Linked DNA regions of Saccharomyces cerevisiae S288C. The gene in region 3 interacts genetically with the main gene of each other region. Each region holds a gene or a part of one and is shown on either strand. Other genes may lie near its edges. The genes, in order: ALG5, BRE2, GAB1 and OCA2.

Evidence for each region.
Region 1: mutations in GAB1 (region 3) and ALG5 together harm fitness more than expected from each alone (negative genetic interaction), as found in Saccharomyces cerevisiae (2 studies listed by BioGRID).
Region 2: mutations in GAB1 (region 3) and BRE2 together harm fitness more than expected from each alone (negative genetic interaction), as found in Saccharomyces cerevisiae (2 studies listed by BioGRID).
Region 4: mutations in GAB1 (region 3) and OCA2 together harm fitness more than expected from each alone (negative genetic interaction), as found in Saccharomyces cerevisiae (2 studies listed by BioGRID).

The regions. Positions count from the first base shown.
Region 1 is NC_001148.4:119,615-122,736, forward strand, and holds ALG5 (dolichyl-phosphate beta-glucosyltransferase), read right to left. Parts: upstream 1,554-3,122; coding exon 549-1,553; downstream 1-548. Other genes in the region: CET1 (polynucleotide 5'-phosphatase), read left to right, coding at 1-417; NEW1 (New1p), read left to right, coding at 2,153-3,122. UniProt on the Saccharomyces cerevisiae protein: Endoplasmic reticulum membrane-bound UDP-glucose:dolichyl-phosphate glucosyltransferase involved in protein N-linked glycosylation.
Region 2 is NC_001144.5:173,661-177,291, reverse strand, and holds BRE2 (Bre2p), read right to left. Parts: upstream 2,066-3,631; coding exon 548-2,065; downstream 1-547. Other genes in the region: PML1 (Pml1p), read left to right, coding at 1-490; PPR1 (Ppr1p), read left to right, coding at 2,310-3,631. UniProt on the Saccharomyces cerevisiae protein: Component of the Set1C/COMPASS complex that specifically mono-, di- and trimethylates histone H3 to form H3K4me1/2/3, which subsequently plays a role in telomere length maintenance and transcription elongation regulation.
Region 3 is NC_001144.5:1,055,452-1,059,093, reverse strand, and holds GAB1 (GPI-anchor transamidase subunit GAB1), read right to left. Parts: upstream 1,761-3,642; coding exon 576-1,760; downstream 1-575. Other genes in the region: NBP1 (Nbp1p), read left to right, coding at 2,323-3,282; YLR456W (pyridoxal 5'-phosphate synthase), read right to left, coding at 3,410-3,642. UniProt on the Saccharomyces cerevisiae protein: Component of the GPI transamidase complex. May be involved in the recognition of either the GPI attachment signal or the lipid portion of GPI.
Region 4 is NC_001146.8:515,598-518,381, reverse strand, and holds OCA2 (Oca2p), read right to left. Parts: upstream 1,134-2,784; coding exon 540-1,133; downstream 1-539. Other genes in the region: porin POR1, read left to right, coding at 1-388; YNL058C (uncharacterized protein), read left to right, coding at 1,669-2,619. UniProt on the Saccharomyces cerevisiae protein: Required for normal growth in the presence of linoleic acid hydroperoxide (LoaOOH).

The DNA.
Region 1 (3,122 bases), on a different chromosome or scaffold from region 3:
GTAGCCCAACTACTATTATATTCACCAAAAGATAGTTACGACGTTAAAATCTCCCTAAACTTGGAATTACCTGTACCTGACAACGATCCGCCAGAAAAATATAAATCTCAAAGCCCAATTAGTGAAAGGACGAAAGACCGTGTTAGTTACATTCATAATGATTCCTGTACCAGAATTGATATTACAAAAGTCGAAAATCATAACCAAAATTCAAAAAGTAGACAATCAGAGACCACTCACGAAGTGGAACTAGAAATCAACACGCCTGCACTGTTAAACGCCTTTGATAACATAACGAACGATAGTAAAGAATATGCATCTCTTATTAGAACGTTTCTGAATAATGGTACAATTATTAGAAGAAAGTTATCGTCTTTATCATATGAAATTTTTGAAGGTTCAAAGAAAGTCATGTAATATTTGAATCATTTCAAAAAAAAATAAGCAAATGCCCTTGAGCGAGAAATTTTTTTTGTTTACTCAAATGCTGTTATGAAAGCTTATGTAATAATAATAATAATGATAATAATAACATAAAAATAATTACTCTAACATTTCTTATTATCTCTATATATCCCTAATAAATAGGCCATTCTTATAATAACCAAGTCTTTCGCCATTTTGATACTATCAATAGCTAAAGCCATCTTAGAGCCATCAACCTCATGCCAGGAAATTGGTATCTCCTCAATTTGGATTCTTTTTCTGATGGCTAAGATCAAAATTTCAACGTCAAAGATCCAACCCTCTGTATGCAAATACGGAAAAATTTTCAATATAGCGGCTCTGTTGAACAATTTGAATCCACATTGTGTGTCTTTGATAGACCTGATGCCGAAGATGAAAACTAAGGTATGGAAACCGTACATCAAGCAGTTTCTTATCATTGATCTCTTTATGACGGCTTCGGTATTTACCATATGTGCTCTGGAACCAATTGCTACTGCTGGTTTAGTCGTTTTTAGATCTGTACTAGACGTTTCAATTTTGCTAATAGCATCTATTAGTTTTTCTACATCACTGAACTTACTAGCACCATCAGCATCGGCAAAAAGACCATACTTACCTCTAATATGTAAAAAACCTTGTCTCACTGCGCCACCTTTGCCTCTGTTTTGAGAAAACTTGATGATTCTGAATTGTTCGTAGTTCAATTTGAACTGTTCTTTACAAATTTTCAAACAGTATTGTGTGGTATTATCTGTGGAACCATCATCCACTATGACAATCTCCCATCTGGAACCATATTTTTCCTTTAAAAAGCTGATTGCGTCTGTCAACATTAGTAAAATTCTACCTGTCTCATTATAGCTTGGGATAACAACAGATAAAAATATTTCTTCGTCATCTTGGTGTTCATTCAAGTTAGGTAAGGCACGACTAACTTCATGACCTTTTTCATCAATAGCTATGTATTTGAGCTCCTCTGGATATGGCGGCCTTGGTGTATGCGAAAATAAATAGACCAATAAATACAGTGAAAGCACCAAGGCTACTAAGAGCGTAAAAAAGACAGTGTTTCTGTTCTCAATCAGGAATCTCAACGCTCTCATTTTTGTTGTGCTTTGTGTAATTTTTGGCTGCCTCTCTGTTTTTGTCCCTTTCTTACGTTATCAAAAGCACCTAATCTATCCTTACAGCATCCAATTAGATACCACTACCTTTCCACAGTGACTATGGTCCTTTGTGCCACTTTAATTGCGATAAAGCCTTGAAAATTGGCACGTTTTCTTCTTGTTTACACTTTTTTTCGAATACGCCAAATTTCGCTTTCTCATGAAAAAAATGGCATACACTGCTTCGAAAGATACAACAGAGCCATGTGCATTAATATATATAAATTAAAAGGTACTGAAGTGATAACGGTGAAAATAGGATAACTATGTACACTTGACTTTGGACTTGTTAGTTGTGACTAGTATAGAAGTTACAAGATCAAATGGAATAAACCCAAACACCACATCTAATTTTTCAATGGAAAAAGAAAAGTTTCAAGGTGGAAAAAAAATTTTCAGCAGCATCGCAATAAATGTTAAAAAATAATAATATATTGCAACCTATTTAAGATAATACATATGCGTCGATCTATAGTGCATAATTTATATCTTGTAAACTGTAAATACAACGACAATCAGTGCTAATTCAACTCAGGATGCCTCCAAAGAAGTTTAAGGATCTAAACTCTTTCCTTGACGACCAACCAAAGGACCCAAATCTAGTCGCTTCTCCCTTCGGTGGTTATTTTAAAAACCCTGCTGCTGATGCCGGTAGTAATAACGCTTCCAAAAAAAGTAGCTACCAACAACAGCGTAATTGGAAACAGGGGGGCAACTACCAACAAGGTGGTTACCAATCGTATAACAGTAATTACAACAATTACAACAACTACAACAACTACAACAATTATAACAACTACAATAACTATAATAAATACAATGGCCAGGGCTATCAAAAATCTACTTACAAACAATCGGCTGTGACGCCCAACCAAAGTGGAACTCCAACTCCATCTGCTTCTACTACATCTTTGACCTCTTTGAATGAAAAGCTGTCGAACTTAGAGTTAACACCCATCTCTCAATTTTTGTCAAAGATACCTGAATGTCAAAGTATCACTGATTGCAAAAATCAAATCAAACTAATCATTGAAGAATTTGGCAAAGAAGGTAACAGTACGGGTGAGAAAATTGAAGAGTGGAAAATCGTCGATGTTCTATCTAAATTCATCAAACCTAAGAATCCATCATTAGTTAGAGAATCTGCCATGCTAATAATTTCCAACATTGCTCAATTTTTCAGTGGAAAGCCACCACAGGAAGCATACTTGCTACCATTCTTCAATGTCGCACTTGACTGTATTTCAGATAAAGAGAATACAGTCAAACGTGCCGCGCAACATGCCATTGATTCTTTGTTGAATTGCTTTCCAATGGAGGCTTTAACCTGTTTTGTACTGCCTACGATTTTGGATTACTTATCATCTGGTGCCAAATGGCAAGCTAAAATGGCCGCTCTAAGCGTTGTAGATAGAATAAGAGAAGATTCGGCGAACGATTTATTGGAACTTACTTTCAAAGATGCAGTTCCAGTTTTAACCGATGTAGCAACTGATTTCAAACCTG
Region 2 (3,631 bases), 880 kb from region 3:
GAATAACAAAGAAGGTATAGCTTTAAAACATGTGGAGCCGCAGGACGCTATTTCTCCAGATAACTACATGGATATGCTAGGACTGGAGGCGCGAGATAGGACTATGTATGAACTAGTGATATACAGAAAGAATGACAAGGATAAAGGACCGTGGAAAAGATACGATTTGAACGGCAGGAGCTGTTATTTAGTCGGTCGTGAACTGGGCCACAGTCTGGATACAGATCTCGACGATAGAACGGAGATCGTTGTCGCAGACATTGGTATACCCGAAGAAACATCCTCAAAGCAGCACTGCGTCATCCAGTTCAGGAACGTTCGTGGCATTTTGAAATGTTATGTAATGGATTTGGATTCGTCCAATGGGACATGTTTGAACAACGTTGTAATTCCTGGAGCGAGATATATAGAGCTACGAAGTGGTGACGTCCTTACACTTTCAGAATTTGAAGAAGATAACGATTACGAACTCATCTTCATGAATGTATAACCATATATAAGAAACACACTTTCAGTGTGTTTTAATTATTCTTCTTTGAATGCTGCTTTATTGCTGTAGGGCAATTTGCTCCAACTCATCGATTATATCCCATACTATGTCTTCAGCTATCTGTTCTTTGTACAATGTATCCAGTGTGTTAACTTTTGAATTCCCGTCAACACAGTAAGCTGATCGGATTTGATCGAGGTACTCCAATTTATCTTCTTCACTAATTATCCTCGCTGTTCCACCGTTAAAACAGCTGATTGTTGGATAGTAACCCAGTTTGTTATTATTTACGTATTTGTTTCTGAGTATCAATCCCTTCTTTTTCTTTTGTTGCTGCTTTTTCTTTTTGGCACTGGTTGTGTTTTTATCATTGGACTCATCACGAGCTTCACCATGTTGCCAATATCCAAGATAGAACTTTTCATTGTATTGTAACTCACTGAACGGTGGTAACAACGGCTTTAAATTTTCAAATGCTTTGCCTAGGTACTTACCATTTTGAAAGATAGCAAGATATGAATCCTCTAACTGGTAATAGTCTTGCCTTTCCCTCTTATCAGAAGAATAATATTCCGGTTTCGTTGTCTTTACATAGTCCGTTGCCTCAAAGAACAACTGGTTCTTATACCTGATGGCGATTTGATCGCGGACGACGTCGTTATATTCAATATCTTCTAATAGCGCCCTTTGAAATTCTTTGTTCGTTGTCTCTTGTTTTAATTTTTTCCTTGAAGGCCCATTCTCAGCATCTTCTCTCCATGGTTCATTCATCGTATCCATATGGGAGTTCAGTGCAAAAATTCTTCTTTTGGTAAACTCCTTAGCTTGTTTGATTTGTGTATGAATGCTAGGAAGACTCAGTAGAAATCCGATTTTATCACCCTCTTTCAATGGCGAACCATTTTCTAGGACGCAATTCAATTTTCCTTCGTGGATAGATTCTAACGAAATGTCTCTAATACCATACCCGTACACATCAAACCCTACGGGAGCCTCTAAACTGGCCTCTCTTCTGCAAACTCCAAATCGTAGATGCGGGGTGTCATTCACTTGTTTGTGCATTTTTTCGTATATGCCACTTTGTACTTCGTCTACTGAATCATCAGCATTTTCCTTATTATTAACACCGTCTGCGAATTTCTTGTTTCCTCCACGAATTACCTCCACTTCCCAATACGTCATTCCTTCTTTAATACACACATCGCTTCTTGCAGTTCTCCAACCGTATTGATCCGGGACACTTACCAGATCATTTCCATCTCGACTAATTGACAACCCTTCAGATCTGTCCATGACGCTCATTCCAGAGTGGTCAAATGGGTATTCTGTACAGCCATACCCCAAAATAGTGAAAAAGGGATTTGCGGAACACGGTCTGTACACAAAATGTCTTCGATTCAATGGAATATCTTCTGTGCGGACAAACTCATAACTTGTACCCTGAACCGATGACTTGATTTGGTGCGTTGCTTCCATCTGTGGTAAATTAGGTCTCTTCCCTTCTTGCTGACCCTGGAGAGCATTCTTGTAAACAATATCAGTACCTTCCTGGTAAGGTATAATACCCAACTTCATTATTAAGGAAGTGAATTATTTGTCTTCGTCCAATTATGGCCACCTTTATCGCTGATATCCTTTGTCTACATCCTTTTTAAACTATAATCACAGATTCTCTATTTTTTTCTTTTACCGCGATGAGCTTCATAAAATACTCACAATACCAAATGTGAAAAATTTTAGTAACGTAAAGTGGTTTGCTTTATTCGCACAGGAGTAACCCTTTAGAGTACATAAAACATACGAAGATGATGATTAAATCATGAAGCAGAAAAAATTTAACTCCAAAAAAAGTAATAGAACAGATTTATCAAAAAGAGGAGATTCTCCTAATATAGGAATTTCCAAATCTAGAACTGCATGTAAACGATGTCGATTGAAAAAAATTAAATGTGATCAGGAGTTTCCTAGCTGTAAGAGGTGTGCAAAATTAGAGGTACCATGTGTTTCTTTGGACCCAGCCACCGGAAAGGACGTTCCAAGATCTTACGTCTTTTTTCTGGAAGATAGATTGGCTGTCATGATGCGTGTGTTGAAAGAATATGGAGTAGATCCCACGAAAATACGAGGAAATATACCTGCTACAAGTGATGATGAACCTTTTGATTTGAAAAAGTACAGTTCAGTTTCATCTTTGGGAGAAGAGGGAATATTGCCACATAATGGCTTATTGGCGGATTATTTGGTTCAGAAAGGGAATTCTATGGCATCCTCAGCTATAACGAGCAAGTCTATGGCAAGCCCACAGACTATAAATGTACAACGCAAGGAATTTCTGGTAAACTCAAAAAAACAAGATGGTAGCGCTTTATTACCCGAGACAGGCAGCCCTATGACTTCAGATGCAAGAGCGGAAGAGCTACGCCGATGTAATAAGGAGATCAGTGCGCTGGGCACGATGAGAGAAAGTAGTTTTAACTCTTTTTTAGGAGATTCATCGGGTATTTCCTTTGCGAAATTAGTCTTCACGGCAACTAATTTTCGTCAAGATTCCGGAGATGACGTTCTGGATGAAGATATTAAACAAAGGGAACAGAAATACAATGGATATGCAGAGGCTGAAAACAATCCACACTTTGATCCATTGGAACTACCACCTCGACATGCCGCTGAAGTTATGATATCCAGGTTTTTTGTAGATACTAATTCCCAGTTACCTTTGCTGCATAGAGAACTTTTCCTGAAAAAATACTTTGAACCTATTTATGGTCCCTGGAATCCCAATATTGCATTGGCATCTGATCAGACAGGCATAAATAGCGCGTTCGAAATTCCAATTACCAGTGCTTTTAGTGCGCATACTGAACCAAAAAGGGAGAACGTTACTGAGAAGATTGACGTATGCTCTTCCGTGGATGTTCCATGGTATGACACTTGGGAGACATCTCAAAAAGTCAACATGCGTCCGATAGTTGAACTACCGACAAAATTTCACATACCTTATTTTTTTTTAAACATTATATTTGCTATTGGCCATGCTACGCAGGTACTTAAGTCAGATATTACTACTGTCGCGACATATAAGAGACGCGCTACTAAATATATTGCATCTTTATTTTCATCTTCAGACAGGTTGGAGGCATT
Region 3 (3,642 bases):
ATGGGAACTCATCACTTCGTAACTGATTCCATCTTCTATCTACCATAACTTTAAAAAAGATTATCGATAGTCTAAAAATACGCGATACACATTCTTTCTTCGTCCGTTAATGATAAAGCTCTTTTTATGTTAATGTACATGGGTTGTCAAACTACCCTTCCCAAAAAGACAGCACAAAATATATATTTATGCCGTGCTATTCTATGATAATATATTGGCTTTCACCTAATGGAAGCCCTAGCGAAGATAACCTTTTTCATACGACTTTTGGTGGGAAAGAAATTGGCATAGTCCCAAGTACAATGTTGTTATTATGTAGGAGCTTAATCCGCAGATCATACACTCTATCTCAATTCTTCGTATTATAACGCTCATGATTAATTAGGTCCTTCTGAGTTCTATCTTTTCTCTCCGAGACAATATTATGCAAATTTTAACCAAGCAGTTTCTCTTAAAAAATAGATAGCCTCTGGAATAACCAATATGGCTCTCATATTCGCTTTATCCACTCTTACGATGAACATCTGTATGGTTCTTTTTATTCTAGTTTATGTACGTTTATAGACGGGAAGTAGTTAAATTTGTGTTACCTTCAATTTGAAATTTGGGATACCGTTATCGTATTCAATTCTCAGCATCGCCCAGTTCAAGTCAACTAATATAGATGCTATAGCCAGAGCATAAACTAGGGAAATAGCATAGAAAAAATTACTATTCCCTGAACCTAAAACAACCCAAAGATGATAGAAAATTGGCGCCAAAACAATTGCGTGTAAAAACAGTAATGCTGATATGATGGGGTATCTTAAATATCCAAATAGTGGCGTGAAGAAAGGTAGGAAGCTGAAGAAAAAACCAGCGTCACCTAGTGAGGGATATGGCTTTGTAAGGACAATCCACCCAATGCATAAAATGAATGCGTAGAATGGCTGCTTATGATAGCGCAAAGTAAATGGTGTAATGAATACTGCAATAAAAATGTTGAATACAGCCTTGAAGAACGGTATGAAGGTGTCAAACATTTCAATGAAGAAGTACCACCACAAACCCAGATTTGGAAAAACCTTCTCAAAGGTTATAATAGATCCATAAACCTGTGTCAAAAATGACCAACTTTGGCTGCCTAATATACTGTAGCTGAATAATAGCAGAATTAATAAAGATAGTATGGAAACAATGGCAGATAATATTCTTTGCCTCCAACTTTTCAGCATACCTAATAGCGGAATTAAGAGGAGAATAGGGTATACTGACAAATATCCAGATATAGAAATCATAACAGAGGACAAAAGAACGTTTCCTTCAGCTAATATGCAATACAATGACGATGAAATAGCAAAATTTGTGAATATGATTGATGACCGACTAATGCACGATAAAAGGGTCAAAGGATTCACGGCATAAAGAAGTCCAGGTAGCCAAACTTTCAGTTTCAAGTTTTTGAAAGCCTTTGTTACCTCTGTCAGCTGATACGCAATTAATCCATCAATTAAAGCGTATATGAGGGAAATTAACCTGTCGGAATTAAAGAGGGAAAGAAAAAAAATCAAAATTGGAGGATGGTGAACAACCCCATGATTATATACTTGGATGTTGTTCCGCAGTAGGTATATACCTTCCTGTAGTGACCTAAATGAAGTTACGGGAGTTGAGAATTCTACAGACTGGTCCAGTTGTTGTTGTAGAGAGGGAAAAAGGCTGTTCACAGCCAAACGAATTGCAATACAGCCTAGAGCTACCTTAAGTGCTGTGGAATCCATTGGTCTCCTTTTGGTGAGTTTTTCATATAAGATCACGTTGTTTATATGAATTACTGTTCTAAAACTGGTTAGTTTTGAAAACAAAGGTCATTTCACTTAATGGAATATTTGTTTTACCCGGAATACGTAACATATCGTTTGCCAATAGACGTCTTTAAGAAGGATGTTTTAGCTTCCTTTGAGAATTATGCTACCAATAATGCAGATAGATATGTTGGAAATAACTGTTTTGACAAGAGCTTGAGATTTACTTGTTTAATGTATACTCATATAGAAACATCGAAAACAAATGAGGAAAGAAATTGAGAGCTGAGATCAATGTTAATTTTCATTCATTTGATGTTATACCTTTACACTTTAAAAATAACTCATCCGAAACAGCCAATGGTCTATCCTTGACCTTCGCCAACGCCTCTTATACTTTCATTAGAGGCCACTCTAGCACAATTCGTGACGCGTCATAGTATAGAAACGATGCGCGCATCAACAATTATGAAATTATTGCTGAACATGAACAAGTAGATACTCTGAAGAGAAAGGTACAATAATAGACATTGGTAATATGCTAAAATCCGTACAGGGACTGTGGAAAGATTTTTTTGGAATACGAGATGATGGCAGGAAACGAGAATACGGGTCCCTTGATGAAGTGAGAAAACGATCTGCCTTAAGGAGCAGAAGAAAGCAGATGCGTCCTACGGGTAAAAGCGTTCTAAAAAGACCTAGAAAGGTGACAGATAGGAAAACTGAAGAAAAAATTCGTACTAACAGGAGGAAAACACCCAAACGAAGGTTAACAAAGATATTCCAGACAATCAGAGATGTTTTTTCCAATGATAATGAAAATATGAGCAAGATGCAAAATGTTTGTGGCGACATGACTAGAATTTTGAAGAAGAGATCCCAGGGAAGACCTTCTTATATGGACACAGATACAGCCAAATCTAGGATCCTAAGGAGTGATGCCTTTAAGAGAAAGATATCGGAGTTGAAATACAATAAGCAACGGATCAGTGAACTAAGAAGTGGTAGTTCTGACGGGTCGAGTGGAAAAGATAGAAATCAATCATTATACTTAGATAGAGAAATTCTTCTACAGCGGCAAATTAAGAAAAGAGATGAGAAAATAAAAGCCTTGGAAAGCAAGCTACAATCATTACAAGAAGCATTGAATTACTCAAATGAGAAGTACAGGATTTTGGAGGATTTACTAGATTCTTCAAACATTCATCCATCATACACCAAATCTAGGAGAACCATGTCTAATCTAGCTAGAGAAAACGATGAGATTAAGCCCTTGAAAATTGATCTTTCCCCGTCTCCAATAAGAAGAACGAATTCATTATTCACTTCCAGCCCCATGAAAACATATAATCGGGATGGAAATATACCAGAGATGCAGCCGTTACAGGAAAACATATCTCCCGCCTGTCCCACTCCACCCTATCGTTCAAGGGAAACTGAAAAAGAGGATGAAACACTTTCACCAATCTCAGTGGACTTTTCAAGTTATTTATCTTAATTTCTCCTGTGAAATTAAAAGTATTCTCCATATATGGAGCGCGAAGATCACGGCCTAATCCTCATGATTCATTTTATAGATGCTTTATATAATAATTAGAGTACACATAGTTTTCATCATATTTCCGTTAAACTGGTTGTACTGTTTGGCCGTATGTAGAAGTATTATTTTCCATGTCAGAGACTTTTATTTTTTGTATATTTACCTTTATTATGGCTGTATCTTCTCCTAGTATAAAAATATCTGCGTCTGGATTGACTGTTAATAACAACCGCCTATAATAAGTAGATTCTTCACTATTAGGGTTCACAATATCAGCAATACCATTGATAGTAGCGCTCACTTGATTCAATTCACTTT
Region 4 (2,784 bases), on a different chromosome or scaffold from region 3:
CGATATCAGCGCCGGTTCCATTTCTCGTTATGCCATGGCTTTAAGTTATTTCGCCAAAGACTACTCCTTGGGCGCTACATTGAACAACGAGCAAATAACTACCGTTGACTTCTTCCAAAACGTCAACGCCTTTTTACAGGTCGGTGCTAAGGCTACAATGAACTGCAAACTACCTAACTCCAATGTCAACATCGAATTCGCCACTAGATATTTGCCTGATGCATCTTCCCAAGTTAAGGCTAAGGTGTCCGATTCCGGTATTGTCACTTTGGCTTACAAGCAATTGTTAAGACCTGGCGTCACTCTGGGTGTCGGTTCCTCTTTCGATGCTTTGAAGTTGTCTGAACCTGTTCACAAGCTAGGTTGGTCTTTGTCCTTCGACGCTTGAACGTATATATCTAATATATATATGTTCACTATATACCATATATGTGCTCGTTCTTGTTTCCATTTTTCTACTTGATCTTTAGACTTGTTGTTTTATTTATACAAATATATTAATGACAGAAAATATTCTTTGTAACGGCTGGTTCTCATAATCATATTGGTTGCTTGGCAGTGAGAATAGACTCACTTCCTGACTCATCATCACTTCCTTCCGCAGCCTCTAGCTCATTCAAATACAAGCAGTGTTTAGCAAAGCCAGGGATAACGTTTCTCGGTATTTTCAGATTGGTTTCGAACATTGTGATAAACTCCAAATCTACTCCATCTTTCATCCCACCAGAAAATAACCCGTACTCTTGGCATATACCTGCAGTGGACCATCCCTGTAACAACTTTCTTATGATTCCCACAACTACACCAACACGGTGCTTGCCCTTATTGGAATGCACTAAGATGGGATAGTTTCTGACATCCAGCACCAAGTGCAAGACCTGGTTCATTCTTTCTTGAATTCCTTCATCGCGGCTTGAATCCATAAATATGTGATAGTATTTTATCTTTTCTGACTCCAGGAAGCTTTGATATTCTTCGAGAGGCCTATCTTTATCGCCAATATATATTATGGTCTTCAAGTGTAACTGATGCTTGATGAAACTATAATTTAACGGCATCGGGTATCCCGATCGATATAACGATACATCCGTGCTCACCACTGGCGAAAAATTTAATGGGGGTATGTATTTCATAGCATCAAGAAACGTGCACTCTATTGGTATTTTGCCTTCACTTGTTGATATATCAACTAGACTTTAATATCTTAAGTAAACTCTCGCTTTTTTCTGATCTTTTTTTTAATTCTGGAAAATTCAGAAGAAAAAACAAAAATTACTGAAAAATCTGGGCTAGCACCAAGAGCTATTCATGGATGAATCACTAAATGAAAAAGGGTCTTTACTTTGCATGCTACCACTCACATGAATAGTATAGGGGAACCTGGTGACAGCCTCCCTTCTCACTTTCTGCCGATTTCCAATGATCACTCTGCAGAATTCTTTCATGAAACCCTTAATATGATTTCCTAAAGCGGGAAATAGTAAACATATCATAAAACATTTGTAAAAAAAAAAAATGTATAATTAGAAATTACTAGATTTTCAATTATATTTAGCAGCTATATGGGTTAATAATTTATAATGTTTATTAATAACATACCCACACTCTTGTATTATAATCAACTAGACTCATACCTTGTCAAAAGTTCAGAAAGAAACATCGGCAGAGATGGTTAAGAAAAACTTTATCCCGTCTGTATCGCTGGTCAGAAGAGACCTTCCTACTTTAGTTACTACTACAACTAGTTCAACCGCCCTGTCAAAGCCCACGTCAAGTGTAGTGTCCGAAACGAGTTCCAAGTCCCTTCCATCGTTAACATCTTCGGCTTTCTCAACTTCCAGTGGAGCAACATCCTCCTCATCACTAATTGTCGCAAGTATAACACCCCCATCTACAGCAGGAAACCCATTTATTTTAAATGCTGCTGATAAACCAAATGGAACTGTATACATTGCTGTGGGTGCTGTCATAGGTGCCATTTTTATCAGTATTCTTATATGGTGGTTAGTGTCCAGTTATTTGTCTCGTCGTTTCACAATGACAAATTCTTATGCAAATGATAGTAAAAATTTGTACAGGGGACACCACAAGCATAGTTCTTCTTTACAAAGCAATCCCTTTGACATCAATGATGAGAAATCATATATGCAGGATGATTGGGATTCTATGAGCCAATTAGAATCTAGCCAATACGAGGATGCTGCCTCACCATTCAACCCAATTCAGGATCCGTTCACAGACAACAGAAGATCCTTATTTATATCTCCTACTTTACAAGTGTCACAATATGAAAAAAGTCATAGCCGCCATCAATCAAAAGACACTAACATTTTTATTGACGATCCATTTTTATACGTAGGTACCTATCTAGAAGAAGAAGAAGAAGAAGAAGAAGAGAGAAAGCTGAACCTCAATAGACCACAAAGAGCAGCGTCACCTGAAAGAAAGGAAAAGAAAATTAACTCAATGGAAGGCTACCATAAGAGAAACCAATCCTCCTTGGGCCTCATACCAGTCGCTTCTGCTACCTCAAATACTAGCTCTCCTAAAAAGGCTCATAAAAGACAGGCGCCATCGATGTTTTTGGATGATGTCCTGAATGGTAGAGAAATAATCTAGATACCCTGACATCTAAGATACATGGTTGTTCAGGTTAAACATTTTTTTTTTTAGTCCTTAAAAATTGTGTAATTCAGTACCAAAAAAATCGATGTTTGCTTTTATTCTTTTCAAGGCCATACGGTTCTAACGCACCAGTAATCATCAGTACATCTGCCAAGATAT